Linked DNA regions of Mus musculus. The protein of the gene in region 3 interacts with the protein of the main gene of each other region in a pairwise test. Links are inferred from orthologs where the notes say so. Each region holds a gene or a part of one and is shown on either strand. Other genes may lie near its edges.

Region 1 (4,209 bases), on a different chromosome or scaffold from region 3:
TAGACTTTTTCAGCACTGTGACCAGATATCTGACAGACACACTGTAACAGAGAAAAGATTTCTTTGACTCCTGGAGCCCATCATGAAAAGGAAGGTGTGTTGGCAGGTCTTGCCCCGTCTGGTGGCTAGCATATGTGGCCGGTGCTCACATCCAGCAGACAGAAACCTGATGGCTCTGGCCAGCAGTGAAGCCTTAGTGAACCTAGTGGAGTATGTAAGCCCTACTTCCCCAAAGCTCCATAGCTTGGTTTTTACCAAGTATTCAAGAGGATGAAACTGTGAGGTTCATTTCAAATTCAAACCGTAACGAATAGGTGTCACGAGATAAAATCAAGGTATTGGCAGATCTGTTCTTCCTGCAGACTAGGAAAGATCTGTCCCCCAGCCTTCTCAACCTTCTAGAAGCTACCTACAACCTGTTACTCACAGACCGTTTATCCATTTTCAAAGTCGCAACACAGCATCATCAAGTCTCTGATTTGGCTGTTATTGTCCTGTATCTTTCTTTGCCGTTTGTTTGTTTGTTTTTCGAGACAGGGTTTCTCTGCCTCCCAAGTGCTGGGATTAAAGGCGTGGGCCACCACCGCCCGGCTTTTTCTTTGCCTTTTTAAAAGGACCTTGGCAACTGCGTTGAGCTCACCAGGATAATCCAGGATGGCCTAAAGTCAAGATACTGTTAGAACTACACACATTGACTCTGTGAAGCTCTCTCCCCATCAAAGCATGCCAGGGGAAGCCCCTCTTTGGGGATGAGGTCCTCACCCATTGCACACAGCCTGTGGTTGCCCATTTTGTGTTTTTATGGTGGTTTACATTTCCATTTCCCTTTATGAGCAGCGGGCTGCATCTGCACCTACTATAGCACAGATGTTACTGAACACTTAAATGAATGAGTAAATGAATAAACATTGCTGGGCAAAAGGGATAGCGGGGTGAAAGAAACAAGCAGCCTAGTAGAATATAATGATGGTATTTTTGTGTGACTCTGTAGTGACTCGATCCTAGAGTTTCAGCTTCTGTAAGTCCTAGCCATCTTTCAAGATCACCTGAGGTCCTGTCCTCTGTGAAGACTTTACCCCTCTGCCCCAGCCACCTGCACTTCTGTCACCATGCTGTGTCACCCTTTGGAGTTCCCCTCATAATCCAGAGGTTTTTGTGTCCTCCCCTGTCCCACAGGAGGAATTTGGATGATGGCTCAGCACGGCTGTAACTAGAGAAATCACTGCTCACCCGCGCTCGCCTCAGTTCCCCCAAATGTGACAGGCACGGTGGAATCAGTGTGGAGTTAGCGGCGGGCCAGGCACTAAGGAATTCAGTGCTGAGGGGACGGAGGCGGCCAAGGGCGGGCGACGGAAGGCTGCGGGCGGGCGGGCGGGCCGGGGCGGCGCCGGGCGAGAGCGCGGAGGGACGCGCGACCCTGCGATGGGCCCAGGGGCGCGGCTGGCTCTGCTGGCGCTGCTGGCGCTCGGGGGAGACCCCGCGGCGGCCACGGGGCGGGAGGACACGTTCTCCGCGCTGACCAGCGTGGCGCGCGCCCTGGCGCCCGAGCGCAGGCTGCTGGGGACACTGAGGCGCTACCTGCGCGGCGAGGAGGCGCGGCTGCGCGACTTGACCAGGTGAGGGCGTCTCCAGGGAGCCGGGATGCTCAGCGACTGAGGGTGAGGAGTAACTGAGGCCCAAAGTGACTTCCAGACCCAACTGTCATGTGGTGGGGACCCTGAGACACTTTGAAGGGGAATGAGGAGTTCTGTGTCACTCTCTCTCTCTCTCTCTCTCTCTCTCTCTCTCTCCCTCTCTCTCACTCTCTGTGTCTGTCTGTCTGTCTGTCTGTGTCTGTCTCTTTGTCTCTGTGCCTGTCTCTCTGCCTCTTTGTGTGTGTGTCTCTGTCTCTCTGTTCCGGTCTCTGTCTCTCTCTGTGTCTATGTGTCTGTATGTATGTGTGTTTGTCCGTGTCTCTGTCTCTTTCTGTTTCTCTGTCTCTCCCTGTCTCTCTGTCTCTCACTCTCTGTCTCTGTCACACACAAACACACACCCCGGGGTGTGACACCACCCCCCATCCACCTTCACATGTCCAAGTTGATACACTGTGAAAAAGTGTAGGTAGCATGGAGATTCTAGAGTCCAGTTGGATCTCACAAATACTGTGTCAAGCAGCAAATGACCTTGGACTTCTTGTCAAGTTACTGCTGACACAGTAGAATGCTGTGGTGACCATTATAGCTCTTATTTCTTTTTCCATGGGTAAAAGTTCTCTGAATGTAAGTAGTAGCTGAGAGGTTGTATGTATGTGAAAATGTCTGACTCCAAAGAAAACACTGTGAAAAACTACTTCACACGGGGTAATACTGGGAGTAGTGTGCACAAACACACAGCCAACATTATTTTTTATGCAGTCAGCAAAGTAGAGTTAGATCCTGGAAGGTAAACTGTTGTAAAGTGTGGGACTTAGAGCACTAATCAGTGTCCAAGATGAAAAAGGAATGCTTGCATATGATACCAACATGTCTTGTGCCTTCTTTGCTTTGGACACTGAGAAGCCCACGGACTATAAGGCACAGTTGTTTCCACATAAATCCAATTGATCTTACAAACTTGTCTAGACAGAGCAGAAGCACATCATTTGATTTCCAGTAACTTTAAATTTCAAATCCATTCCCATGCCAACCCGCCCTGCTCCACTCCCACAAATGTTTATAAGAAATGGTCATGAAGGACAGCCAGTTTCGTAAGGGTTGGCTTAATCCTGCAGTCTGCTCTTCAAATGCCATTGGTGGCAACTGATGGCTTGTAGTTAGACACGCATTTGTTTGAGTTGCAGTATCAAATTGGTTTGTTAAAAAAAAAAAACCTGCAGATTACATTCTTACACTAAGAAAAACAGGCTGTAAGCAGGAGACAAGTTTAGGAAAAGCTAATAAAAGACACCTGTCTATACTAAAAAAAAGGAGGAGGAGGAGGAGAAAAAAGGGAAGAGGAGGAAGAAGGGAAAAAGGAGAGGAGGAGGAGATGGAGGAGGAGGAAAAGAAGAGGAGGAAGAGGAGAAAGCCAATGCAGGAGAAAGTGTGTGGAACACTGTGGGTACCAAGTGACTCAGAGTCTAGATTCAGGAGCTCAACAGGTCTCTGAATTTTTGACTCTGACCGTGTTATATCTTTAAGCTTTAGTTTCCTAATCTAAACAATGATGCTTTAATGGTTATTCCCATAGGGTTCTTGGAACGATTGTGTCCAGGTAAAGTTATTTATCATTGAGCTTAACATGTAGTAAGTTACTGAAAAAATGTTAACTCCCTATGACTCTTCAAGGCTGGCTGATCAAGTAGACTCGGCGCAGTGGGGAGGCTGAGGCAGGAAGACTGCTGTGAACCAAGCAACACAAGAGCAGACCACCGCTGCTCAGTGACTAAGTATTAAATTAACCCTGCCAATGGAAGCACTAGCTGGGATTCTAAAAGATTAAAAAGGGAATTTTTAAAATCCCAGATCCGTTTCTCAGATGATTATGAACATTTAGTCTCATCACAGGCAATCTGATGCTCTAGAGGCTGTGATTCTGTCCCCTGGTCATGCTCGAAAGCCAGCGTGAAGTGTTTACTTTTTAAAAATGATTTTTTAAATCATTTTTTAAAAATTGGGGTAGTTTCAGCTCACTTTTCTATAGATTCAATCTGTTGATTTTATATAAGTTGAAATGTTATTTCTAATGCCCCTGTTTTATATACTTTGAGTTTCTAAATCAGGAAATGAAGTGGCTTTGGCTGCTGAGGCTGCTCTACCTGCTAATGGATAGAAAATGTTCTAATTAGAGCCCCCATCACCGAGTACCCAGTAGAGCACACAGTCTGCATGGGGGAGGGGGGGTAGTCTAGTTTGTTTTGTTGGTGCCATTTAAGAAACACAAAGAGTAAAAGAGTTGGAGTGATTTCTGAGCTTAGAATGAAGCATTCAGAAGGTCTCAGAAGGATGAAGGCAAAGCCATCTCTCAGTTTCAAGGGAGAAAAGTATCGAATTGACATGGCCCATGGCTTGCGGCTGAATAACCTCCCCAGGAAGCTAACTGCAGGGATTGGGTTGCAAATTTTATGTGCAGATTCTTGAAGGAAAGGATCTGATTTTCCACTCTCAGCAGCATTTGTTAAAGCAAAAAGGCATTTAGGAAAGCCTGAGGTTGGCCTTCAGCGTCCTGTAACTCAGTCTCTGTTTGCTCAGA
Region 2 (3,976 bases), about 8.3 Mb from region 3:
GAAGCAGAAGGGAACACCAATTGCATGGTGAAGGATATCTGTGTTCATGAATACTGGCTTCCTGTGCACACGCTACCTTTGCACGTGCCTAGGCAAGGACCGATCTGCATCTGGAGATCCAAGCTGGTAAAGACCCAAGCTGGCTTTGAGCAAGCACTCAGTGAGGCCGCTGGCAGGAGAGCTAGTTGCACGAGAAAGAGACACGAGGGTCTGAGAACAACAGATAAAGACAGGACAAGATTCGGACTCGGTCTATCTTTCTATAATTAATGACATGCCATTACCTCTGTTGAACAATTCAAGCCAAAGACTAAATGAGATTTACCTTAAGTTAATATTTGATATTCTCCCGCCAGCCTGTCCCAAATATGACACCTGAGTATCTCTTTAGCTTTGATTTTCTGGCAAAAATTTCTCAACAATTTCCCAGAAAGAGGGGAAATGTTCCACAGACATTTCCCACGGGGCTTGTCCATCTTCAGTTACAGCCTTCCTTTACCGGACACATACTGCAGGAAAGATGAACTACCAGTGGACCTCCTGAACTAGGTAGGTGCTCACTACTACAGCTATGAGATACCTTTCAGTTTTCTAGTCTGAGGCAATAAAAGGCACCAACTTTAGCAAGAGTAAACTTCCTTTACAGAACACAATTCCCAGGCTGGAGAGAAGGCTCAGCTGTTTAAGGATGATTTCTGTTCTTCCAAAGGACCCAAGTTGGAGTCTCCACACCCAAATCAGATGGCTCACAACTACCTGTGACTCCCACTCTAGGGAGATCCTTCACCTCTAGCCTCCAGGGGACCTGAGCTTAGGTGCACACACACATTCATGTAATTAGTAATTTTTTTAAGAAGCCAAACTCTGTAGATTCAACATCTAATAAAGGATTAGTGGTTAGGTTGTGCTGATAGGGAGCCAGTAAACAGCAGTTCACCAGACTGCCTCCCCAACTGTGTAATCTTATGTCTTGTCCAATTTCTGAAAACTCGGGGCCCAGATGTAATTCTAAGCTTATGCTTAAAAGGGAACAAGCTATAGACACTGACTCTTTAAAGGGTTGTTGTTTCTCTCCTGAGATTTTAAGGAAGCTGGTCCTCTTGCCAACAAACCTAGCTCCTTTCTGAGCTAGTGTCTTAACCTTCAAGACTGAAGAGTGATGTTTATATTCTTGCTGGATCGTGGGACTTCCTGTGTTTTATGAGAACACGCTGGGTTTTTATGCTGCTGGCTGAGGGTAAAGCCCAGGTAAATAAACACCACAGAAGGCTGAAATTGAAGGGGGGGGTGAATAGGAAAACTCCAGCAGGAAAGCACAATTCTTTTAAAGCAGGAAAAGAAAAGAAAAGGGGGGCAAAACCCCACCAAAACAAATGCATCTTAAAAGCCCAAACGGACAAGTCATTAGCAGTGCCTTTGGTCTTGTGTTAACAAATCCCTTCAAAGGATTAGATGAGGACTTCAAAGGAATAAAAACTCAAAACCAGACAGCTAATGACTCTTAAAAGGGCATTTGTGTGGACGTGGAAAAAAAAAAACCGATACCTTCGTTCCTGGCTCCCCTTGTTAAGGCTAGAGAATGGGCTAGGAGGGTACAGGCTGTGGAATGGGGAAGGGAGGGGGGGCTGTTCTTTGCAAACCAGCGCAAAGCTCAGAGCACTAGACAGTACATGCTCATTAAAGCTCTGGTTCGCTGACACACACACACACAGCCCTTCTGAGAGTTCGATGAGATTCTGCTCCCTAGAAAAACATACTAGACAGAAAAAAAAATGTGCACTAACTTTCGAGGTTCACATGCCCGCACTAGGAAACTCAGGGGAGGGGCGAACATGTACCGGGAGGAACGACAGATTAGCAATTCTAGAAGTCTCTGGAGGCCAGAACCAGTTCCCAGGTGGACAAGCGGACCTCATCAACTGTCCGCTCTACTCCGGGCCTGGTAGGAGAGTCGACGTCGGAGACCCCGGGATGTTCTAGTTGGGATGCCCCCCTTTCCAAGGCCAAATGGACAAAAAGGAAGGGAACCTGGAGAGGGTGGGACGAAAAGGGAGAAGGCAGAATCTTGTCCTCCACTCTCCCTGCCCTGCACCTGTGCCTCAGAGCTCCGGGTGCCAGCTCCTGGGCAAACTTTCTGGCCCTGGTAAAGGTTTGGGGAGCTTTCCAGATAGCCCGGAGCGGTCCGCAGGGTCGATCCCAGTTACAGCTTCCGCCGCCCAGTCCCTCTCGGTGTTTCCAGAGTCACCCGCGAGGAAAGAGAACCCCTGGGAGACGGAGGGATCAAGGGCACGCTGCGGGCGCGCACCTGGAGTCAGCCCCTCGCGCCTAGCCTGGGACCCTGTTTGGGGTGCCGGAACAGAAGCGCCACACTTACTCAGACGGGTCCAGGCTCTTCCTTTCGATGGCCGAGGACATTGGGGAGGGGGGCGGCGTGCCGGGCGGCGGGGGCGCTCCCTTTGTGGCGCGTGGCTGGCTAGCTGCCTGGACTCGGACCCCCTCGGGTGCTCGGGCGCCGCCGCTCCTGCGCCTCCTCTTGCTCGGTCGCTCCGCTGGCGAGCTCGCCCCTCCACGCTCAAGGACAGTCACCGCGCTCCCTTCAAACGCCAAAGAGAGAGAGCGAATCATCCAGCTGCCCGGCGCGCGGCGGCCAAGGCAGGGGGCCGGGGAGCAGCCCGGCCTCCCTCCGGTGGCTGCGACAGCTGCCGCTGCTCAGGACTTAACCTTCCATCCCGGTCCCGCTGCCGTCACCACAGCCGCCGCCGCCGCCGCCCGGTCCCGATCGCGCGCAGTAGCCGGCTCCGCCCGGTCGCCCCGAGCCCCTCGCACCTTCGCCGGGGTCGGGGCGCCGGGGGCAGTGAGGGGGCGGCGGCCTGGGGGCGGGGAGCTGACCGCGCGGCTCTCCCCAGGCTCCCTCCTCTCTCGCGAAGGTCTATTTTCGCTCAGCTTCCCTCTGTCTCTGGTTTCATTTCCTTTTTCCTGATCACGATTCAAATACAATAGAAGGAAATCACATTTAAAGAGACAGCTGCCCGCCCCCTCCCCCCTTTTTTTCTTCCTTTTTTTTTTTTTTTTTAAACGGGGCTCCTGGGGATTAGCAATCCAAATAGCGGCGGCGGCGGCGGCGGCGGCGGCAGCGGCAGCAGCAGCAACGGCGACAGCGGCAGCCCTGACTTGGCTTCTTAAAAGGGCCCGCGGCAGAGACCGAGAGTCTCCCCTGAGCCCCTCTCCTGGGGCAAGAATCCCGCTGCCACTAAACTGTCTTTTTCAGAGTTCCCCTTCTTCTGCCTTTCCCTTTGGCCTCAGGCTGAAAGTAACCACTCGCCCGTTCCAGCAGGAAAGAAAAGACAAGAATGTGAAATAAGCACCTGCAGAAATGCAAGCGTTGCTAATGGCTGGCTAGCGCGCGCTCGTCTCGGGTTCGAGGTCCCAAGTCCACAGTCGTGGTGCTCTGCGATGCCCGAGACAGTGCGGCTCTGCTGGCGGCAAGCTAGTAGCTGCGACTGCTCTCCAGAGAGGGGCGCAAGCTGTGTGACCAGGAACCTCACGCGCTAGGTGCGCCTGAGCAGAGCTGGGGGCAGCTAATCCCGCAGGGAGGGTGTCTGGGAGGGACCACGTTGTCCGGGTCTCCTCTCCATCTGCTGGCGGCAGAATTCCCTCCCCTAGCCTCTTTCAAAGAGCGAACTCCAGCGGTGAGGCTGGCCCTCTCTGTAAAGTATCAGCAGCAATACTTGCTTGGACCGGAGGAAGTTCCTTCCCGATAAAAAGACTTTCAGTTATTACTTACTATTATTTTGTCTTATATAAAACAAAGAAAAGGGCAGGTTTCTCCTTCAAGCTTGAAGACAAGTTCTAGAAGGAGAAAGAAATACAGAAGGGAAGAGATGGATTCCAGCTAGCTACTTTTCAGGAGAAAAACCTAGGTCCCCCTGGGCCTTGAGTTCCTTGAAACTGAGTCCAGAAATGATCGTTCAAGGCC
Region 3 (3,500 bases):
GGTATACCCAGAGTGGTCTCCTGATTCTTTATTCCCCATTTCGACAGGATAGCCATGTCTTAAAAAGTAACTTTGGTTGGCCGTGTTGTGAGTCAGCACACATGGCCCCAGGGCTGACATGGGAGTACTATTTGAGGCCAGGAGTTCAAAGCCAGCCTGGGCAACATAGTGAGAATCCTTAGCACAGCAACTGGGGAAGAAATCATTTCCTCCAAGTATATCTTTTTTTTTTCCCCTCTGTTACCCTTGAGGACCTGTTCCAGCCTTTGCACTCTGGTGGGCTCTGCTTCCGCCATCATTTTCAGTTGTAGAAAGGGGCAGATGAGGCCATCAGGAACAACCCTTTGGAGTGTCCCTCTAGACTGTTACATGGGCCATGCTTATATGGATTCACCAAGCTTATATAAAGTAGCAATTAATCAGGACACTGGGTGAGATTGATAGGCAGCAGAAGTAAAGGGTATCACTTTGTCCTGGAGAGTTATCCAAACTGTATACCACCAGTTTCCTTATTTAGCTTCTTGAATAACCACTGAAGGTGAAGGGACAATATAATGGCATTTCTCAGAACTGTCACTAGGCTACTACCTACCTGTGAGCAGCTTACCCTGACTGACCCAACTTCAACAGTATTGAGCCAAATGGAGGGTGCTTGGTTTCTTGGCCATGTGTGGATGCTGCCTGGCGTCTGTGTTACTGATGGACTGGGTTCTCCTTATTACAGACTGTACTTTTTTTTAAAAAAATGTGAATTGTTTTTCCATTTTATGTACCTTGGTGTTTTGCCTGCATGTATGTCTGTGTGAGAGTGTCAGATCTTACAGTTACAGACAATTGTGAGCTGCCATGTGCGTGCAGGGATTTGAATCACTGAGCCATCTCTCCAGCTCTGCCCAGTCTTTCTTTACCCTTGCAGGTTCATGGAGTTTGAGGCCGAGGAAGAAACACAGATACAGAATGCACAGTTGATGAATGGCTCCCCGGGTCTGTCCCCTATAGCCCCTTTGAAACTTGATCCTCCAGGGTCCATGGTCCCTGAGGCTTGCCAGCAGCCAGGTAAGGCCACCCGCAGTGCAGACGAGGATTAGGAAACTCTGCTTTTGCTTCTGTCTGTCTTTCCTGGGAGTGACATTGTTATAAGCCAAATGCAATGCCCCCTAGGAAGCTGGGGTGTTAGCTCCTTTTGTCTTGAATGAGCTATTGATCTTGGCCAAGTAAACTACTCTCTCATCTGGATTGTGCATGAGTCCTATCCTTTATCGGACATGGCGTTGGATCAGATGGTTTGTTGGGATGTCAAGGTGTGTGGAAAGATTTCTAACCGTGTTTTCTCTCACACCCCCTCCAGCTTTTTATGTTTTCTCCCCTAACACCTCAATCCCATTCTGGAACCCGAATTTCTTCCCTTCCAAGTATCACTGGGAAGTAGATACCAAGGCTCCTTCCCCACTCTCCACCTCTTCCCTCAGTGTACATCCCTAAGAAGGCAGCCTCTAAGACTCGGGCTCCTCGGCGGCGGCAACGCAAACCTCAAAGGCCTCCTGTTCCCGAGGCACCCAAAGAGATCCCACCTGAAGCTGTGCAAGAATATGTTGACATCATGGATGGGCTGATGGGAAGCTACGTGGACACTGGGAAGACAGAAGAGGAGGAGGAGGGGCAGCAGGAAGGTGCAGGGATGTATCCAGATCCAAGTCTTCTGAGCTACATTGATGAACTCTGTTCTCAGGAAGTCTTTGTCTCCAAGGTGAGCTAGGTCTACAATGGCTAATTTCTGGTATTTGGGGGCGAGGCACTATCAGGCATCAGCTCTCTGGGGTTCTGCATGTGGTAGGAGCCTCCATCCTATAATTTTGAATAGATATCTATGAGTTGGATACTGTGGGGCACCAGCCATCTGGGGTTCTGTGAAAGTCAGTAGGCTCCATTCTATAATTTGGAAATAGGTATACAGGTAGGTAGCTGATGGTAAGGACTACCACAAATTTTTGTAACAAACTCCAGCATTAAAGTTTGTCTCTATGGGCTATGGGCCTCATAGATTTGTCTCTAGAGCACCTGGGCTTACAGATCACTCCATATCAAGATTTACACCACTCTCCTTTCTGTTCCCCAGGTGGAGGCAGTCATACACCCTCAGTTTCTGGCAGATCTGCTGTCTCCAGAAGAGCAGAGAGATCCTTTGTCTTTACTTGAGGAACTAGAGCAAGAAGAAGGACTGAATCTTGCCCAGGTAAACTTGGGAGGCAAAGAACACAGGCAAAGGATCCTGGCTGATTTTGTATAACCCTTTGATATCTTGATACTGTTTGTGAGAGAATTTAGGTTTGGGCTTTGGGTCATATAAGGGCATAGAAATCAGCAGTTGAATAACACAAGGATAACCTTCACACAGTGCACAAAAGCATTATGCCTACAGTCTAAAGCAAGTAGGGAGGGAACGAGGAAAGGCTCACAGCTCTAACGCAGAGAGAGCTACAGTATCTATCTTTGACACCATCACTTAAAACACTTGCTTTTCTTCCCCACACTATCTACCATCTCCTATCACCCACTCAGCCACCTCTTCTCCTAACCATGTATAGAACTGGCATTTGTCCATTCCCTTCCAGCTGGTCCAGAAACGACTCTTGGCCTTGGAGGAGGAAGATGCACAGACACCTCCAAGTTGCAGCGGAGCTCAGTCAGACTCAAGTCCTTCTGTTTCTGATGAAGATGAAGACGGGGGTCAAAGGCGTCGGCCCTCACCTGGGCTTCAGGGGGCTGCGGGCATTGTTCGCATTGGAAAATCTGCTTCTCCAGGCAAGCAGGCAAGAGAAATACATGGTGGGCAGGAACAAACACTAGGTGGTCCAGCGGGGATTCACAAGGATGGAAATAATCTGCCATCCCCTAGCAGCTGGGATGTACAGCTAGAGCTCACAGCTTCACAGGGGATGCCAGTACTCTTGGGTATGGAGAGAAAAATGTCTGGGAAGGCTATAAAACAGCTATCTGCAACTCAGGATGGCCACCTGGGAAGGACTGGGTCCCCTGGGTACTACCCAGTAGCAGATAGGAATCCAGAGGTTTTACCTTGTTGTTGGCAAGAAGATCCCCAACACATGAGAGCCCCCAATTTTGATGTTGGACTTACAGAGCCAGTTCCTCTGCAAGGACTTGGGTTAGAAAAACAGGCTTTGACATTGCAGATAGGAAAGCGGATCGGGGGAGCTGGGATGCTTACTCGAGGAAGAGAACCACCTTCAGTGGTTTCCCAGAAGGGCTCTTCAAGGGCCGTGCGGGGAGATGACAGAGGTCCTGGTATGCTTCAGAGTTACAGTCAAAACCATTCCCCTGGAGCAGCTGGCAACCTAGACAGGGTTTCTCTCAGCCCAGGACTGTGGCTGAGCAGTGACATGGGTGCTGTAGGTTTAGAGCTTCCCTTACAAATTGAGACTGTCATAGACAGCATCCAAGATGAGGCATGCAGAAGAGAGGACCAGGCATTGAATTCTAGA
Region 4 (4,200 bases), on a different chromosome or scaffold from region 3:
CCAGTGCTAAGTATGTGCTGGGCGTTGTATCTTACATGGATTCGCTTCACTAACTCCCATTATAACTCCAATGATGTTGGATGCTGTGTCCCAAGGAGACAAGGTAATTTGTTCTTACCAACAAACCAACAAACCATCTTGCTGGCCAAAGAAACTACATTTTGCAAGCTTTTGTTGTTGTTGTTGCAAATTTATAGGTCTTTCCATAATTTGGTCTCACATAATCTGTGATTTAATCTCATTTCTTCATATTTCCTAACACAAGTTCTAAAGAGATCCCTTTCTTTACATTCTATTTTTCAATGACTGCACTTATTTGTTTTGTTTTGTTTTGAGACAGGGTTTCTCTGTATAGCCCTGGCTGTCCTGGAACTCACTTTGTAGACCAGGCTGGCCTCAAACTCAGAAATCTGCCTGCCTCTGCCTTCCGAGTGCTGGGATCAAAGGCGTGCGCCACCACGCCCGACTCAATGACTGCACTTTAATCTACAATCTATTCCACAGTTTAGCTTATATTACCTAGTGAGTATTATTAATACCATATTGAATTTATTGGTCTGATCTTATTTTACAGGCCAGAGAGCTCACTAAGTTACTCAAAAACATACACAATTTGTAAGTAGCGAAGATAGGATTTGAACACAGAAATCAAATCTTTTCAAATTAACTTCAAACTACCGTTCTTTTGGCGTTATGTTCTCATACAGGTCCTGAAAAGCCACCCTTATTTTCATCATTACCATTTTCTAACCTGCAGCTGAAGAAATCCCAATCCAAAAAGCTATTTGAAGCCATTTGCTTTGTCTTTCAATGCCTCACACATGTCATATGAGTTCCATGAGAGAAGCAACGACGGACAACCCTGGCTTCCCAAGCCCTGAAGAACTTGCTGCCCACACGCACTTCAATAAATAAACATACAGCTATACAGACATTCGGGAACAGTATTTGGGAAGATTTGCTCCAATAATAGCAATATATTTTAAATACAGAAGACGTGGAACACAGTGATTCCCTATGAATGCAAATGTGCAGCGCATCATTAATTACAAAGCTGAGCTTCTAAAGCACGGTTTAGGTTTTCTCTTCATACTTAGCGGTGGAGTTGTTCATGCATCTAAAAATCACAACCTTTAGAGAGGGTAGCCACTTTGAACACTTGTTCAGCCTTATTTAGGATTAAAGTTTATGCCTGGAGGTCTCTGGAGAGGGGAAACCTGGGTCCTTGTTTTCTGTTGGGACTAATGAGATTGGACAGCCGGCTCAGCCCCACCTCTCTTTCAGATCTTTGGCCCAGACTCCCAAAACACTGGGCCCCTCACAAAGATGGCACGAAAGAGGGCTGGACCAATGGGGAGTGGCGTTGCTCGCGGTTGCCTAGGTAACAGCCAATGAACAGCAGGAATTGTGCCCAGTGCGGCCCGTCAGGGATGGCGGCGTCCAGTGTGGCTGAGGCGGGTGGAGGTGGCGGAGGGGAGAGTGGCAGTTGGGAGCCCAGAGCAGCAAAGATCCTAGCTGCTGGAGACCCGCATCGCGTTGGGGCGTGACAGTCGTCGCCCAGAAGCCAAGCTCAGGTAGGCTCGCGACGCGGGTGGGAGGAGGACCTGGGAGTGCGGTCCACCAGGTAGGGACTAAGGCGGCAAGCAGGTGACTGGGCTAGGGAGCGAGCCTCTGTCCTGGCTGTACTGACCAGAAGGTGGCTGTGAGTGGGACCCCAAAATTGGGTTTGGAATTTCGATCCAGAGGTTGTAGCCCCGGAGAACACAGAACACTGGTTATCGAGAGGGGTGTGCCAGGCTGTGTCTGGAGGGAATGCCAGACCCATGAGAGCCTGAAGAGCCTGTGTGGTGGGGGCCGACCCCCCCAAAAAAGGACGGAGCCGGGCTGGGATGAAAAATGCAGTGGAAGACTGGGTTGCCTGGTGAAAGTCTGGGGCTTTGTTTAATCTAGGGCGCGTCTGTGCCACAGGTAGGGAGAGGTCCCACATACTGAGGCTTGGGAAATGGATTGTCATCTCTGCAATTCCGCATCCACAAACAACTTAGGTACCAACCTGAGTAACTTCGCTTTATTAGAGCCCAGCACAGGCATTCTCCTTTCCCTTGGCATAAAATAGTGTCCAGACAATATTACTTCGGAGAGTCCACCACTCTTGGTTCATCGTGTTTTTAAAAACCTTCCTGTACCAGTGTTCTCTTTTCATCTTTTTGCATCTAACTATCCCACATTCTTCCTAAATAAGACCTGCTTATAGTAACAATGCCCCTGTTTACTTTCCAGCTAGGAAGGGGATTCGAATTATAAAGTTCAAAACCTAATTATTTCATATTCATTTAAAAACACATTTTATAAAACAGTATTTCCAGTTTCCTAATATTTGTTCATCAAAGCTTTCATTTTTTTTCTCCTCTTAGGGTTCTAAAAACCCAAGGTTGCTTCCCTTTTTTTGTTTTTTTTGTTTGTTTGTTTGTTTGTTTTTGGTTGCTTCCTTTATAACTAAAAGATTGCCAACCCAAGAAAGTGGTTTTGGGGACATTTTGGAGATTGTGTGAGTAGTTTGGGTGGCTACTTCCAAACAGTCTCTAACTGGGATATGATTATTCGTAGATTGGAGGGGGGAACTGTTGTTATTTTGTTTTTTTTTTTTTGTTTTTTTTTTTTAAAGGCATGTGCCACCATTGCCCGGTGACTTGTACACTCTTTTTTTTTTAATTTAATTTATTTATTTATTTATTTATTATATGGAAGTACATTGTAGCTGTCTTCAGACACTCCAGAAGAGGGAGTCAGATCTCCTTACGGATGGTTGTGAGCCACCATGTGGTTGCTGGGATTTGAACTCTGGACCTTCGGAAGAACAGTCGGGTGCTCTTACCCACTGAGCCATCTCACCAGCCGGTTATTTTGTTTTAAAACTTCTTAATTTAAGCTGAACATGGTGGAGCCTTAGGACGCAAAGGTAGATCTTTGTGAGTTCAAGGCCAGCCTGGTCTACATAGTGAGTTCCAGGACAAGGACTACATAGATCCTCTTTCAAAAAACAAACAAAAACTTCTTAATTTAGACAAAAGTTGCTGCAAATACATAAATGTTCTTTAGTAAGCTTGGTTTTATGAGGGGTGGGGAGACAATGAGACACACAAGAAATGGCTCAGCAATAGTGAATAGTGTTTACTAGCCAGGAATTAGTTCTTAGCACCTACATGGTGGCTCGCAGCACCTGTAACTCCAGTACCAGGGCATCTAAAGTCCTCTCGGGCTTCCATGGGCTCTTGTACACACGTAGCATACATACACTCATGCAGGTTCACATTGAAACACATGAATTTAAAGCACTTTTAAAAAATGAAAACAACTTCTTATCGGGTGCTCTTACCCGCTGAGCCATCTCACCAGCCCTGTCTTTGGGTTTTATTTGGAGCCATCCATGGATTTTTTTTTTTTTTAAGTAAAATATCAAAGGATATGGTCTCCTTTGCACGGTCCTAGGACTTCGGATTACAGAGACAGAATAGTACTTTTAGATTATGTTTCGGACTGGTCTTTTGCAGCTTGTCTATCACGAGTATAGAAAGGGCTCTGTGGGAATGTGAGTCGTCTTGGTTTGTGACTGTATTCTTCCGTGTATAGCTTGAAAGCTTGGGGCATCAATTTTCTTCAGCAGGATCATATAAGCAAGTATTGTGAACATCGATCTGTGTCCGTTATTAAAGTGTTGGGCTTTTTTCCACTAGTACTGGCTACACTTTATTAAACTATATTTGAGCCAGACGATGGTGGCGCACGCCTTTAATCCCAGCACTCGGGAGGCAGAGGCAGGCAGATTTCTGAGTTTGAGGCCAGCCTGGTCTACAGAGTGAGTTCCAGGACAGCCAGGGCTATGCAGAGAAACCCTGTCTCGAAAAAGCCAAAATAAATAAATAAATAAATAAATAATAATAATAAAATAAAATAAAAACAAAACAACAACAACAAAAAACAAAAAAACTATATTTGTCTCAGTAACTATGGATAATCTTGGTTACCGGTGAAATTCCCTCTTGGCCTCGTGGCTGTGGAGCTATTAATTAATACTGATAGTTACAAGATTCATTAGTTAAAAATTCAAACACTGTCCCAGGTAGTGACAGTATCAGCTGTTTGGACACATGTTGCATTTCCTAGCCAAATGTATTCAGCCATAGCCTGAGGTCCATGAGT
Region 5 (4,163 bases), on a different chromosome or scaffold from region 3:
ACCACACACAAAACTGATGGCATGCCGGCTTGGGTTCCAAGGCAGCGCCAGGCGAAATCCGGCCCTGTTTTTCCAGGGATACGTAAGCGCCACCCCACGCAGGTCCTTCCACCGAGAAACGAGCGATGTCTCCAGCTCCAGACTTAGACTTCCCCTCCTACCTCTACTGCCTTTCAAGTGCTCTCACCTCGAGTCCAATCTGCCATCGCGCCCTCCAGGGTCCCACTCAGGGAATTCGCAGCACAGCAACGGACGTGGCACCAGTACCCGGGTCTTCCGGTTCCGCCTCCGGGCTAATAACTTCCGGGAGAAGGTTCTGAAGCGGAAGAAACAGACCTGGAGTGCTTCTCGGGAATGTAAATAAGGGAAGGGCGGGCCACCAGCATTCGGACCCACGGATTGGTCAGCAATATTAGTCCTGCGCTGTGGGTGTTACTCGGAGCAGGTGTTCAGACCCAAATTTGGAGCAGAGGCTAGGAACCAGCTCAGTAAATCAGTCGGATGCCTCTGGCGCTGCTAAATCCAACTGGATGGGGAGGACAGGCAGACCCGAAAGAGACTGGTGAAGGAGACGGCCGGGGCCTGCCACTGAGTAGGGGCAGAGCCGGTTAGCACGGCGGGTGACATCATCCACTGGAGCACTGTTTGTATGTGTCACTGTGGGGCACCGACTCAGCTAAGTGGCGTGCGGACCTGGCTCCCCGCTACACAGCGCTCCTACGCTTCTAACCTCAGACACGCCTCGGCTGGCCGCCCCTCCGTTGCTCCTCTCGCGGGAGTGGCTTTTCCACGGGTGTTCTTCACTTCCTTCTCTGCAATTTTCTTGAGAATAACCGTATTACTTTGGTGGCTATTCTTTTTAGATAGGTCTGCTAGTTTCTGCCTCTCGAGTGCTGGGATTTAAGAAGGCGTGCGTCACTATGCCCGGCTAACCACGTGCATTATTTTGACCATCCAAGTCGTTGTACTTCTCTTTCCCTATTCCCTATGGAAGATGAGCTCCAAGGCCTGGATCGCGAGAATCGTCTTCCCCAACTGATTAAGCGGCCAGGAGCCGGCGCTCCCTTTTTTATCACAGTACGGGGACAAGAGCGTAAAGAGGACGGTCCACGCGCGGGCCAAGCCACACCCCACTCCCCACCCTCCCATCCCACCCCACCCCCCGCCTGCCAGGAACTCGGGCTAGAGAGGAGGGCTCAAAAGGAGGACACTGCCTGGCTGGTTAGCTAGCATCGCCGCTCCAAGACTAGCCGCTCAGCGACCACAGCCGGGTTGCTCCACCTTAAGTCGGAGGCGCCTGTACACACCCTTGGGTTCGGCTGCTCTCCCAGCATCCCTCACGCGTGGACGCCGGGCTTCCGGACCTGGGCGGAGCCCCGGGGTTTGGCCGATTGCGTCTTCCCAGCCCAAGCCTTCCAGCACCCGGTGCCAGGGGCCATGGAGCCCCGGGCAGTTGCGGATGCCTTGGAGACCGGAGAGGAAGATGCGGTGACAGAAGCTCTGCGGTCGTTCAACCGGGAGGTGAGAGGCATCCGGCTGCCGAGGAAATTTCAGGAAGAGAGGAAGCAGGGGTGTGCGCGCAACTCGGCTGGGGTGTGCGTGCGAGTGGTGGCAGGGAGCACGGCGGTGGGTGGTGGGCTGGTCCCTCGGGTGGCTCTGTGGTGGCGTGTGGTGGGGCAGGTGTATGGGAGGCTAGGGTGGGCCTTGCCTTAAGGTTCAGAGCGATGGATGCTGCTTCAGAGGTCTGCTCTGACTCGAGGAGCACGGGTCCTACCTGCATGTGGATCTGAGCCTCCTGGGTCTCCCTGCAGCATTCTCAGAGCTTCACCTTCGATGATGCCCAGCAGGAGGACAGGAAGGTAGGTGTCAGCCCCAAGGGCTCCTAGGGCAGGCACGGGCTGACCCCAAGAAGAGGGCCTAGTGGAACCACTTTTGTTCGACCCCACAGAGACTCGCAAAGCTACTGGTCTCCGTCCTGGAGCAGGGCTTGTCACCAAAGCACCGTGTCACCTGGCTGCAGACTATCCGAATCCTATCCCGAGACCGCAGCTGCCTGGACTCATTTGCCAGCCGCCAGAGCTTACATGCACTAGCCTGCTATGCTGACATTACCGTCTCAGAGGAACCCATCCCACAGTCCCCAGACATGGATGTCCTCCTCGAGTCTCTCAAATGCCTGTGTAATCTTGTGCTCAGCAGTCCAACAGCACAGATGCTAGCAGCAGAGGCTCGCCTGGTGGTGAGGCTAGCGGAGCGTGTGGGACTGTACCGCAAGAGGAGCTATCCCCACGAAGTCCAGTTCTTTGACTTGAGGCTCCTTTTCCTGCTAACAGCCCTTCGCACGGATGTGCGCCAGCAACTGTTTCAGGAGCTGCACGGTGTACGCCTGCTGACTGATGCGCTGGAACTAACACTGGGCGTGGCCCCCAAAGAAAACCCTCCGGTGATGCTTCCAGCCCAAGAGACGGAGAGGGCCATGGAGATCCTCAAAGTGCTCTTTAATATCACCTTTGACTCTGTCAAGAGGGAAGTTGATGAGGTAGGTTGGAAGTCTTGGCTGAGACTCAGTTCGGGTGGGACAGTTTGCTTCCCTTTGTACCTCAGCTTGCAGGGTATCAGATATGGCGAGGACTAGAGGATGGTGTAGGCGGGAACTCAGGGAAGGTGCCTGAGCCGCACTGTGCATGGGGTTGCAGGTGGGTATTCTCCACAGTGCTTCAGGTGGCCAAAAGCACCACATGTGCTGTGCACAGCGTCTAGGGATCAACTCCATGTGGCCACAAGAACAGGGGTTCGATCTCACAGGAGCCCCTTTCTGTCTTTGGTTAGGAAGATGCTGCCCTTTACCGGTACCTGGGGACTCTTCTGCGGCACTGCGTGATGGTTGAAGCTGCTGGGGACCGCACAGAGGAGTTCCACGGGTGAGGGGTAGGGCTCACAATGTTGGGGACGGCAAGAGTTCCTAGGTATGGGTACAGAAGTCCTTAACCCTAGTTGTGAATCAGAAGCACTTGGGGGCCCAGGCCCCACCTTTGACTTCATCAGGGGAATGGGGCACCAGTGTTGTTTCCAGAGAGCCTAGGTAACTCAGGTATGGCTAAGAGAAGAGCTATGAACTTAGAGACAGGGCCTTAGGCGGAGGCAGTATGGTCTCTTGCTGGTGCCTCTGCTCATCTCAGGTTCGAGAGATTGTTTGGCATCTCAGCTCAGACATAATGGCCCAGATAGCGTCTGCAGAATCTCCCCACCAAATTTGAGTTGGGGTACCACCTGCCCTTGCCTATAGTCTATTGCTTTCAGTGCAACCCTTCGAGCCCATCCATGTGTACCCCAGGAGAAGGGCCAGGGAGTGTATCTGTGCTAAATATAATTACTGTGTCGAGGCCTCTGTGTGTCTGTCCCCAGCCACACGGTGAATCTCCTGGGGAACTTGCCCCTCAAGTGTTTGGATGTGCTTCTGGCCCTGGAGCTCCACGAAGGATCCTTAGAGTTCATGGGAGTTAACATGGATGTGATCAGTGCCCTCCTCGCCTTCCTAGAGAAACGTCTGCACCAGGTAGGACTGGGGGCCTGCTACGTGGACACCCAGGGGCTCGGGCACCTGTTGTGACTGCTGTTTCTGAACCATTGGTACTGGCGAGTAGAACTCAGCTTGACGATATATCGTGGACAGTTGCTCTGACTGCTCTGTGGTGCAGCTAGACGGTGGCCGCTCAGTCAGGCCCTCGCAGAAGCCTGCAGATACACTGTGTGTGTGAGCCCTCCTGCTGCTGATTACCAGAGGAGAGCAAGCTTCTCGGGTCCCAAGGTGAAAGGTAGCCCTTAGGTCTCTGTGGCTCTGCTAAGTGGTTCTCAGAAGCCTTTAGTTCCCGCTTCCAACCGTCAGGCTCCTCGTGTTTCTATACATGGGCAGCCAGAGGCGACATTGTCCCTCTGCATTTTTTTGGTTTTGTTTTGTTTTGTTTTGTTTTCAAGACAGGGTTTCTCTGTGTAACTCTGGCTGTCCTGGAACTCACTCTGTAGACCAGGCTGGCCTCAGACTCACAGAGATCTGTCTGCCTCTGTCCCCTGAGTGCTGGGATTAAAGATGTGTACCGATACCACCGTCACCCCACCCCCACCCCCCAGCTGTCCCTCTGCATCTTAAAGAGGCATAACCACAA
Region 6 (4,137 bases), on a different chromosome or scaffold from region 3:
CTACCTCTGCCTCTGAGTGCTGGGATTAAAGGTGGGCGCTGGAATGCCTGGCCACACTTAGATTTTTAACTTTTTGTTTGTTTGTTTTTTTATTTTTATTTTTTGGCGGTCAGTACGAGGTGGAGCTAAGACGGGCTGTTATAAAGCACAGAGTGGCCTGGAACTTCCTGATTTGAACTTCTGATTCTCCTGCCTTGGTCTCCTGAGTTAGTTAATTAGGATTATAGATTTATGTTCCCACACCCCACGTATGCAGTCCTGGGGACTGAAGCCAAGGCTCTGTGCATGCTAGACAGGCAAGTTCTCAGCTATGAGCACTGCTCTGGCCTATAAACCGAAAGAACTAGAATCAGGTAAGATGGATATAATATATTGGGACAGGAGCAAAAATTGCTCTGTATTAGATGGCCAAGGAGGATCTGAGTGACTGAGCCTTGAAGGAGTAAGACTATTCCAGAAGAAATAAGGCAAGGGCCCAAACATGGTGGCGCATGCTTGTGATGCTAACACTAAGGAGGCTGACACAAGTGAATTAGTTCAAAGACAGCTTGGACTATACAGAGTTAAAGCCAGCCTGGCTGACATAGTCAAACCCTGTCTCAGAAAGCCTGTAGGAGGAACTCAGGGAAAGCTCATGAGGTTGGGACGTGGAAAACAAGCACGGTGGTGCACGCCTCAATCCACAACACTGGGGAAGCCGACCAAGAAGAAGGAAAGCTTAAACCAGCCCTGGCTCTATAGCGAGCTCCGTGTCGGTCTTGGCTATATAATGAGAATCCATCTCAAAGAGAGGATGGGGTTCTGGGGAGATGGCTCACACACAAACGTTTTTAAAATAAAAGAGAATGGGACAAAAAAAATGAAGCACGTGGGTAGGAGAGAGGGCGGGAGGAAGGTTCTTCCTGGTAAGCCGCTGTGGTCTGGTATTTTGGGAGCCAGCGCCATTCTGGAGGGAGGTATGTTAGGTGCACATCATTAGGACTCCTGGCTGCGGGCCTGAGCCTGGTAACGCATGCCTTAATTTCAGCACTAGAAAGACAGAGCACACAGAGGCCAGTGGAACCCTTTGATTTGAAGGCCAGCTCGGTATAAATAGGAAGTTCCACGCCAGCCTATGTCATAAAAACGAAAAACTGAAAGACTCAGCTGCTGAGACCGCGGTAGCTACCCTATTGAGGGGCTAAGACAGTGCAGCTGCAGGAGTTGCACACTCACAGCTGTGCAAGCCCTGGGGAGGTGTGGCGAGTGGGTCTGGCATCTGGGGCTGCTTATTGGCGGTGAGGTAGGCGTGGCAAGAGCGGTATCGAGACAAAACTACGCAGGCGCCAAGCTCCCTCGTTTCCATGGCGACGACGACTCAAGCGCTTCAACGGCTTGGCAACTGCCCTGTCCCAAGACTTTGGTCCTACCGCTGGACTCTGTAGTCCTAAGTGTTTCAGTTTTCCCTATTCGGGTTGCTTCCCAAAACCAAAGGAATCTTAGCCCCTGGCATGGGTGACCTGGAACTGCTGCTGCCTGGGGAGGCTGAGGTGCTGGTGCGGGGCCTGCGCAGCTTCCAGCTTCGGGAGATGGGCTCTGAAGGGTGAGGCAGCCGCCACAGGTGGAGTCACTGGTCTTTTAGTGGAGGAGCTTGGAACTGACATTGGAGAAGGGGTTGCCAGTGTGGAGGGGCCTCCAGGTGGGTAGGCAAAGCTCTCTGAGATAGAAGCGTATGGCCCCCGTGCCCCTCTGGCCCCAGGACAGGATCATGGTAGTCTTCAGTAGGATCCAACCCCACCCTCACTCCCGTTGCACATCTGGTCACCCAATGTACATACATCCCTTCGGGGGCAGGTGGAATAAGCAGCATGAGAGCCTGGAGAAGCTGAACATGCAAGCCATCCTTGATGCAACTATCAGCCAGGCTGAGCCCATCCAGGAACTGCTAATCAACCATGGGAAGGTACGTCCAGGTCCCAGGCAGGATTCCTGCCTTCTATTGTACCTCTTGGGGACACTAGGCAGCACCTGTTCTTCCTTCAGGCCTGGTACACCTAAGTGGGAAAGAAAAATATGTTTGTTTTATTTTGAGATAAGGTGTTGATCTGTAGCCCAGATGGCCATTAGCCTAACTGTGTCTGCCTCCCAAGTGCCGGGGCTGCAGGCATGCCTCGCTGTACCTGGCTGGCTACATTTCCTATTGTACCCTCAGTGGATGCGAGAGTGGATGGAGCCATGGATCCTAGGCTCCAGGGGGAGTGCTCAAGTGCTGACATGAGCCTGAATTGACTGTAAGGCCAAAGAGATCCTCTCTAAGGAGGAAGTGAGGCTTTCCAAATGGGGAAGGTAGCACACTAGGAGAAAGTAGAAGCCGGGAAAGATGCCTGGCTGGAGGCTGGGCCAAGGGCGGCCCTAGTTCTCCTGCAAGAGAAAGGCAGAGCTGGGTAGCAGGGATTGGTCTAGGAACAGGGCTCAGTAAAGGGCTGAAGTAAGAGTAAGGCCAGGTGACAAAGACCAGAATAAGGACAGGAAGAGCAGAGCTGCCCTAAAGTGGGGTATCCCTGGACGGAGGGTGGGGTAAGGTGCAAGAGGGCAATGGCAGTAAAGGCCATTCAGAGGAAACCCAAGAGAGTTGGAGACTTAAGACAGGCTAAAGCTGGGACAGGAAAGCTGAGGGACCAAGGCAGGGCCATTTCACCCCTGCTTCTCCCCCGTCCTCCGCAGATCCCAACGCTGGTGGAGGAGCTGATTGCGGTGGAGATGTGGAAACAGAAGGTTTTCCCTGTGCTGTGCCGGCTGGAGGACTTCAAGCCCCAGAATACCTTCCCCATATACATGGTGGTGAGCTGGGCCCTCAGAGTCCTGAGCCGAGAAAGATAGCTAACAGCCAGTCCCTGTCTCTCCCTCTCAGCCCAGCCCCGTCCTCTTCGACAGGTACACCATGAGGCCTCCATCATCAATCTCCTAGAGACAGTGTTCTTCCACAAGGTGAGACACTACTCTGCAGGCCTGAGCCTGGTGGGCTATGTCGGCCGGGGAGGGCATCGAACCCCAGAAATATCCCCTCCCTGAACCCCCCCAGGAGGTGTGTGAGTCAGCTGATGACAAGGTCTTGGACCTAGTAGACTATTGCCACCGCAAGCTGATACTGCTAGTGGCCCGGAAAGGCGGTGGTGACCTGTCTGAAGAAGAACAGTTCCAGGACAGTACCCCTATGCAAGTAAGCTACGGTTTCCTGGACTTAACAAAATCTCGATGTGAGTTCTCTCCAGCCTCCACAGGCAGGGTGAATGCTATGTGCCTGTGCCCCTACCCCCCTCTCCCGCACCATCAGGAGCTGCAAAAGCAGGCGGAGATGATGGAATTTGAGATATCCCTGAAAGCCCTCTCGGTGCTTCGCTACATCACAGACTGCGTGGATAGGTGGGCCACCCTCCAAGGCCCGGGGGCGAGCACACAACAAGGGGCTGTGTGTCCTGGCCCGTGGCCTCTGCTGACCACCCTTCTACCCTACCTCTAGCCTTTCCCTGAGCACACTGAACCGCATGCTCAGGACTCACAACTTGCCCTGCCTCTTGGTGGAACTGCTGGAGCACAGTCCCTGGAGCCGGCGGGTAGGAGGTAAGGCTCCCCCTCCCATTTGCCTAAGATGTAACTGGCTGCTTCCAGAACACCCTTCAGGATCAGTGTGAAGGGTACAGGGTACACATTTAGGATTCTGGGATACCTCACCCGAGATGGGACTAGAGTTTGACTCTGAGGCAGACAAGTCCTGTGAACCATTTGTTGAAGACTCCACCTTGTTCTGACGTCTGGTGGCCCAGGCTTTCTAACCTTGCCAGGCAGTGGTGGACAGTCCTCCGGACCACACACTCTCAAAGATAACACAACACCCACCGGCATCCGGTGGGCTCCTTCTCCTCCCCCAGGCAAGCTGCAGCATTTTGAGAGTGGCCGATGGCAGACGGTGGCCCCCTCAGAGCAGCAAAAGCTGAATAAACTGGATGGGCAAGTATGGATCGCCCTGTACAATCTACTGCTCAGCCCTGAGGCCCGAGCCCGTTACTGCCTTACAAGCTTTGCCAAGGGACAGCTGCTTAAGGTGGAGAACTCAATGACCCCGCCCAGCCCCACTGCCCCCCTGCCCAGACCCACCCC
Region 7 (3,500 bases), on a different chromosome or scaffold from region 3:
CCTAGGAGAGTAGTGGAAAAGGCAGAGTCAATTGGTGCGTGAGCATCATAGTTAAATAGCAGTAAGAGGTATGCTGGTGTTGCCCAATAGAGTGACATTAGCTAGTGCCACAAAAAGCTAAAGAAAGAAGTTTGAGTGACCTATGTTAGAGCAGATATAACGTAAGCAACTCTACAATATCTATGTATCTCTAAAATATCATATGATAATTAATAAATGTATACATCATTATAGTTTACCCATAAAAGTCAATTAAAATATAGAAATAAGTTTCCTTTTTGAGCATAAGATAGTCTACAAGCTGATAATTGGGCCTCCAGGCTGTCATGACCCTTGTATGTAACATCTATTAACAGTAGGTTCGTAATCTCCATGTGGTGCTGTCCTAGGTGAATGTCCATGATCTCATTAACCATGTCCATTAACCATTTGCCTCTTCTCCATTGTATTTGTCAGGATTTCCCAGAGAACAGAACCGCCATGTGTGATAAGGGAATACATAGAATTTAGTAGGAGAGTTGCCTTATCCATAATGGAGGCCAAGCCCTCCCAAGGTGGACTTTGTAAATGTTAGAGACAGACTCGCTCCTTGCAGAATTCCCAGGGCTCAGAATCAGGGGAGTTCATTTCAAGTCCTATACTTTCAGATGCCCAACATTCCTGTGAAAACACCCTCACCACCACACATGCCAAATGCTTTCCTTGTTCTCTACTATTCCTTATCCCAGTAACATTAGTGCCTAAAATTAAGCATCATTTCCATAGTGAGTTGAAAAAGCAGAGGCAGCATCATTTATTTACTAGATGAAAGAGTAGGACCCCACCCCACCCCTACTCCCACCCCCACCCCACCACGCAGTGGTAAGCAGATCTGAGTTTAAAGCCAACCTGGTCTACAGAGTGAGTTCCAGGACAGCCAGGGCTATACAGAGAAACCTTTTCTCAAAAAAACAAAAACAAACTAGAAGAATAGGACCTGATGTTCCTACAGAATCTAGCCCTTCCAATGTTAGAAAGCAAGCATGTGGATTTCCATATTGTTTAGCATAGCCATCTTAGCGAGGCTCAAGTGTTTATGTCTGTATCTAATACTTGTTTATCCTCTGATTGGTGGTTGTTATATAAATGCTATTCCTAGCCTTATTTGCTCCTATATTATTTGTAAATAATAGAAATTGTTCGTATTCCTTCACAGATCTGTACTGTTGAACCACATGGCCAGAGAACATGCTTTCAACATTGGTTTGCCAGACAACATTGTAAATTGCGCTGAATTCCTATGCACATTGCAAAAGAAACTGGACAAGTACGTATTCGCAAAACACGGCCTAAACCTAATTTAATATTAGACACTTCTGAATTTTTAAAAGTTATTTGAATAAGTTAATTTAATTTAGAATTAAATGAAAGTTACTCATTTCTTATACTGTGGGATTTTACCCTTTTTTGGTATTATGTAGCTTTTATCTAGATTATATTGCCTTCTAGTGAGTTTTGAAATTATTGCATTTAAATGCATGCTTTATGCCAAACATTGACCATTTACATCATAAAAAAATATACTCATCATCAATATTCTGTACTTTTCTCATTGCTGTGACCCGATACCTGGTAGGTCAAATCTTCGAGAAGGCAGGGTTTATTTTGGCATATTGTCCCAAGGCATGCAAACCATTGTGACAGGGAAGGGAGGGCTTTAGGAGCAGATGGAGCCTGGTCACATTGCTTGCGCAGTCTAGAAACCGAACAGTCTTTGCCACAGTTTGAACTAGACATCAAGTTGGCCAACTTAGACTACTACAAAGCAAACCATACCATACCATGCTTTCTACAAAGCCAAGTAGCTAAAGGGACAGGGGATTCACCGAGAAACCGTTTTAACCTCGTTTATTGTAACACAAATAAATAAATGTAAAATTAAAATAGGGTTCTGCAACAATTGTCTAAGGGATATGTTTAGCAGTGTGTGTATATTTCCTTTAGTTTACAGTGTTTGTACTGTGAGAAGACCTTCAGAGACAAAAACACCCTTAAAGATCACATGAGAAAAAAGCAGCATCGTAGGATCAATCCAAAAAACAGAGAATATGACCGATTCTATGTCATCAATTACTTGGTAAGTCTTGCTGCTTATAGTTTAAAATTTGGCTACAATACCACAATCAAAATCTACCTACAAACCAACAAATGTCTGAATAATGAATGAATTGACACAAAGGTTAAAAGGCAATGAGAGGCATTATCAAGAAGTAGTTAGCAGTGGTTTACAAAACAAATTTGATGGGTTGCATTTTGGCTTGCCAGATGTTTCTGCAGTAAAGATGACAGATGCATCTCTAGAATTCAGTGTGATAGCAACTGAAAAAAACAAACAGTATTTCATTATATACAAACCATTCCCCGTTTGGTGCTATCTGGCAGCTTGAAGCCAAGGGTTTATGTACTCTGCTTTTAAAAGCCCTTATTGAGTATTGAGTGTGCTAGGTGCCACACAAGATAATTTTTTAAAAGCAGTTTCTTAACTCTTCTCCCATCTCCCCACTAAATGATCCTCCCCTTATCCTCAAAATAAAATGTGCATCTGTATCATTGTCTGCCAACTTCTCTTTAAGGAAAGTTTCAGAAAAACTGTTCCATTTTATTAAGCAAATATTTTTGATTGGTGGCCCATGCCACGGATTTTAAATGTTTTAAGGTATAAAGTTTCTATCCTGTCTGCTGCCCACTGTAGATTCATCCTTTGAGGACAAGCAGTGATATTCAGTTAGAGACAACATTCCTAGAGTTATTTAAAATTCTGGGAGGGGATTTTGGACTGACATAATGACTGGAGAATGCCACCAGGCCTGCCTCAGTCCTCCAGCTTTTTCATTGTATGTAATGAGGGGTCCTACCCATACTTAGAAAAGGATTACAAGTGCTATAGAACAATGAAGGATGAAAGTTCTCATGCTGAAATTCCCTGTTCTTCCCCCTCTCAATATAAGTACATTAAAATCGAAGCCTGATGATTTGGAAAGACTAAAGGCATATTATCAGCCACTTCCTATGTTGGGTAGAGAGATCTGTGTTGGAAGTCCCTGCTCTCATGTGCACTTTTTGTGTGTTTTAACTTAGTCATATAGTGTTAAACAGAAATTCTCTTCAAGAAGTGAGTTTAGCATTTGCTTAAAGATTGGCTCTGGGAACTTGCCAAGGTTTTCTACAAATGTTTTACAACCAGCAAAGGCACCCTCTGAGTCCTTCCATCTTCTCTTCAAGTCATTCAGTCATGACTTCCTAGAGCCAGTGCTGCTTCAGGGCCCAGCCCCCTCCAACAGGGAGTGGATGCCAGCACTGGTATGCAGCTGCTGTAGCGAACCATGAAAGCAATTTACTAGTTCTCCTTCCGGGGCCCTTTAAACTAATATGCACGAGCTGTGAACTAGCAGAACACTGTATAGCTGGAGTCTCTACCTTGGAGGGAGACTTCAAAGGATCCACACACCCGTGTTCTGCTA

Evidence for each region.
Region 1: the proteins of Nutm1 (region 3) and P4ha3 interact in binary tests that used the Homo sapiens proteins (3 or more experiments, as listed by UniProt). The two-hybrid records come from large-scale screens. The link is inferred for Mus musculus from reciprocal best matches to the Homo sapiens genes NUTM1 and P4HA3.
Region 2: the proteins of Nutm1 (region 3) and Lmo2 interact in binary tests that used the Homo sapiens proteins (3 or more experiments, as listed by UniProt). The two-hybrid records come from large-scale screens. The link is inferred for Mus musculus from reciprocal best matches to the Homo sapiens genes NUTM1 and LMO2.
Region 4: the proteins of Nutm1 (region 3) and Morn4 interact in binary tests that used the Homo sapiens proteins (3 or more experiments, as listed by UniProt). The two-hybrid records come from large-scale screens. The link is inferred for Mus musculus from reciprocal best matches to the Homo sapiens genes NUTM1 and MORN4.
Region 5: the proteins of Nutm1 (region 3) and Ric8a interact in binary tests that used the Homo sapiens proteins (3 or more experiments, as listed by UniProt). The link is inferred for Mus musculus from reciprocal best matches to the Homo sapiens genes NUTM1 and RIC8A.
Region 6: the proteins of Nutm1 (region 3) and Zmynd10 interact in binary tests that used the Homo sapiens proteins (3 or more experiments, as listed by UniProt). The two-hybrid records come from large-scale screens. The link is inferred for Mus musculus from reciprocal best matches to the Homo sapiens genes NUTM1 and ZMYND10.
Region 7: the proteins of Nutm1 (region 3) and Zfp277 interact in a two-hybrid assay, tested with the Homo sapiens proteins (2 studies listed by BioGRID). The two-hybrid records come from large-scale screens. The link is inferred for Mus musculus from reciprocal best matches to the Homo sapiens genes NUTM1 and ZNF277.

The regions. Positions count from the first base shown.
Region 1 is NC_000073.6:100,284,111-100,288,319, forward strand, and holds the start of P4ha3 (prolyl 4-hydroxylase subunit alpha-3 precursor), read left to right. Parts: upstream 1-1,409; 5' UTR 1,410-1,422; coding exon 1,423-1,616; intron 1,617-4,209. UniProt on the Homo sapiens protein: Catalyzes the post-translational formation of 4-hydroxyproline in -Xaa-Pro-Gly- sequences in collagens and other proteins.
Region 2 is NC_000068.7:103,969,111-103,973,086, reverse strand, and holds the start of Lmo2 (rhombotin-2), read right to left. Parts: upstream 2,801-3,976; 5' UTR 2,729-2,800; coding exon of another isoform or gene 2,722-2,728; 5' UTR 2,626-2,721; coding exon 2,375-2,625; intron 1-2,374. UniProt on the Homo sapiens protein: Acts with TAL1/SCL to regulate red blood cell development. Also acts with LDB1 to maintain erythroid precursors in an immature state.
Region 3 is NC_000068.7:112,249,292-112,252,791, reverse strand, and holds part of Nutm1 (NUT family member 1), read left to right. Parts: intron 1-916; coding exon 917-1,056; intron 1,057-1,469; coding exon 1,470-1,747; intron 1,748-2,116; coding exon 2,117-2,233; intron 2,234-2,612; coding exon 2,613-3,500. UniProt on the Homo sapiens protein: Plays a role in the regulation of proliferation. Regulates TERT expression by modulating SP1 binding to TERT promoter binding sites.
Region 4 is NC_000085.6:42,083,571-42,087,770, reverse strand, and holds the start of Morn4 (MORN repeat-containing protein 4), read left to right. Parts: upstream 1-1,400; 5' UTR 1,401-1,574; intron 1,575-4,200. UniProt on the Homo sapiens protein: Plays a role in promoting axonal degeneration following neuronal injury by toxic insult or trauma.
Region 5 is NC_000073.6:140,856,034-140,860,196, forward strand, and holds the start of Ric8a (synembryn-A), read left to right. Parts: upstream 1-1,363; 5' UTR 1,364-1,437; coding exon 1,438-1,521; intron 1,522-1,811; coding exon 1,812-1,859; intron 1,860-1,948; coding exon 1,949-2,539; intron 2,540-2,829; coding exon 2,830-2,921; intron 2,922-3,405; coding exon 3,406-3,556; intron 3,557-4,163. Other genes in the region: Bet1l (BET1-like protein), read right to left, coding at 188-206.
Region 6 is NC_000075.6:107,545,967-107,550,103, forward strand, and holds the start of Zmynd10 (zinc finger MYND domain-containing protein 10), read left to right. Parts: upstream 1-1,337; 5' UTR 1,338-1,490; coding exon 1,491-1,582; exon of another isoform or gene 1,583-1,711; coding exon of another isoform or gene 1,712-1,833; coding exon 1,834-1,942; exon of another isoform or gene 1,943-2,033; intron 2,034-2,703; coding exon 2,704-2,820; intron 2,821-2,913; coding exon 2,914-2,967; intron 2,968-3,061; coding exon 3,062-3,199; coding exon of another isoform or gene 3,200-3,313; coding exon 3,314-3,402; intron 3,403-3,499; coding exon 3,500-3,600; intron 3,601-3,908; coding exon 3,909-4,081; intron 4,082-4,137. UniProt on the Homo sapiens protein: Plays a role in axonemal structure organization and motility. Involved in axonemal pre-assembly of inner and outer dynein arms (IDA and ODA, respectively) for proper axoneme building for cilia motility.
Region 7 is NC_000078.6:40,327,291-40,330,790, reverse strand, and holds part of Zfp277 (zinc finger protein 277), read left to right. Parts: intron 1-1,195; coding exon 1,196-1,306; intron 1,307-1,983; coding exon 1,984-2,116; intron 2,117-3,500. UniProt on the Homo sapiens protein: Probable transcription factor. Involved in modulation of cellular senescence; represses transcription of the tumor suppressor gene INK4A/ARF, perhaps acting via the Polycomb group (PcG) complex PRC1.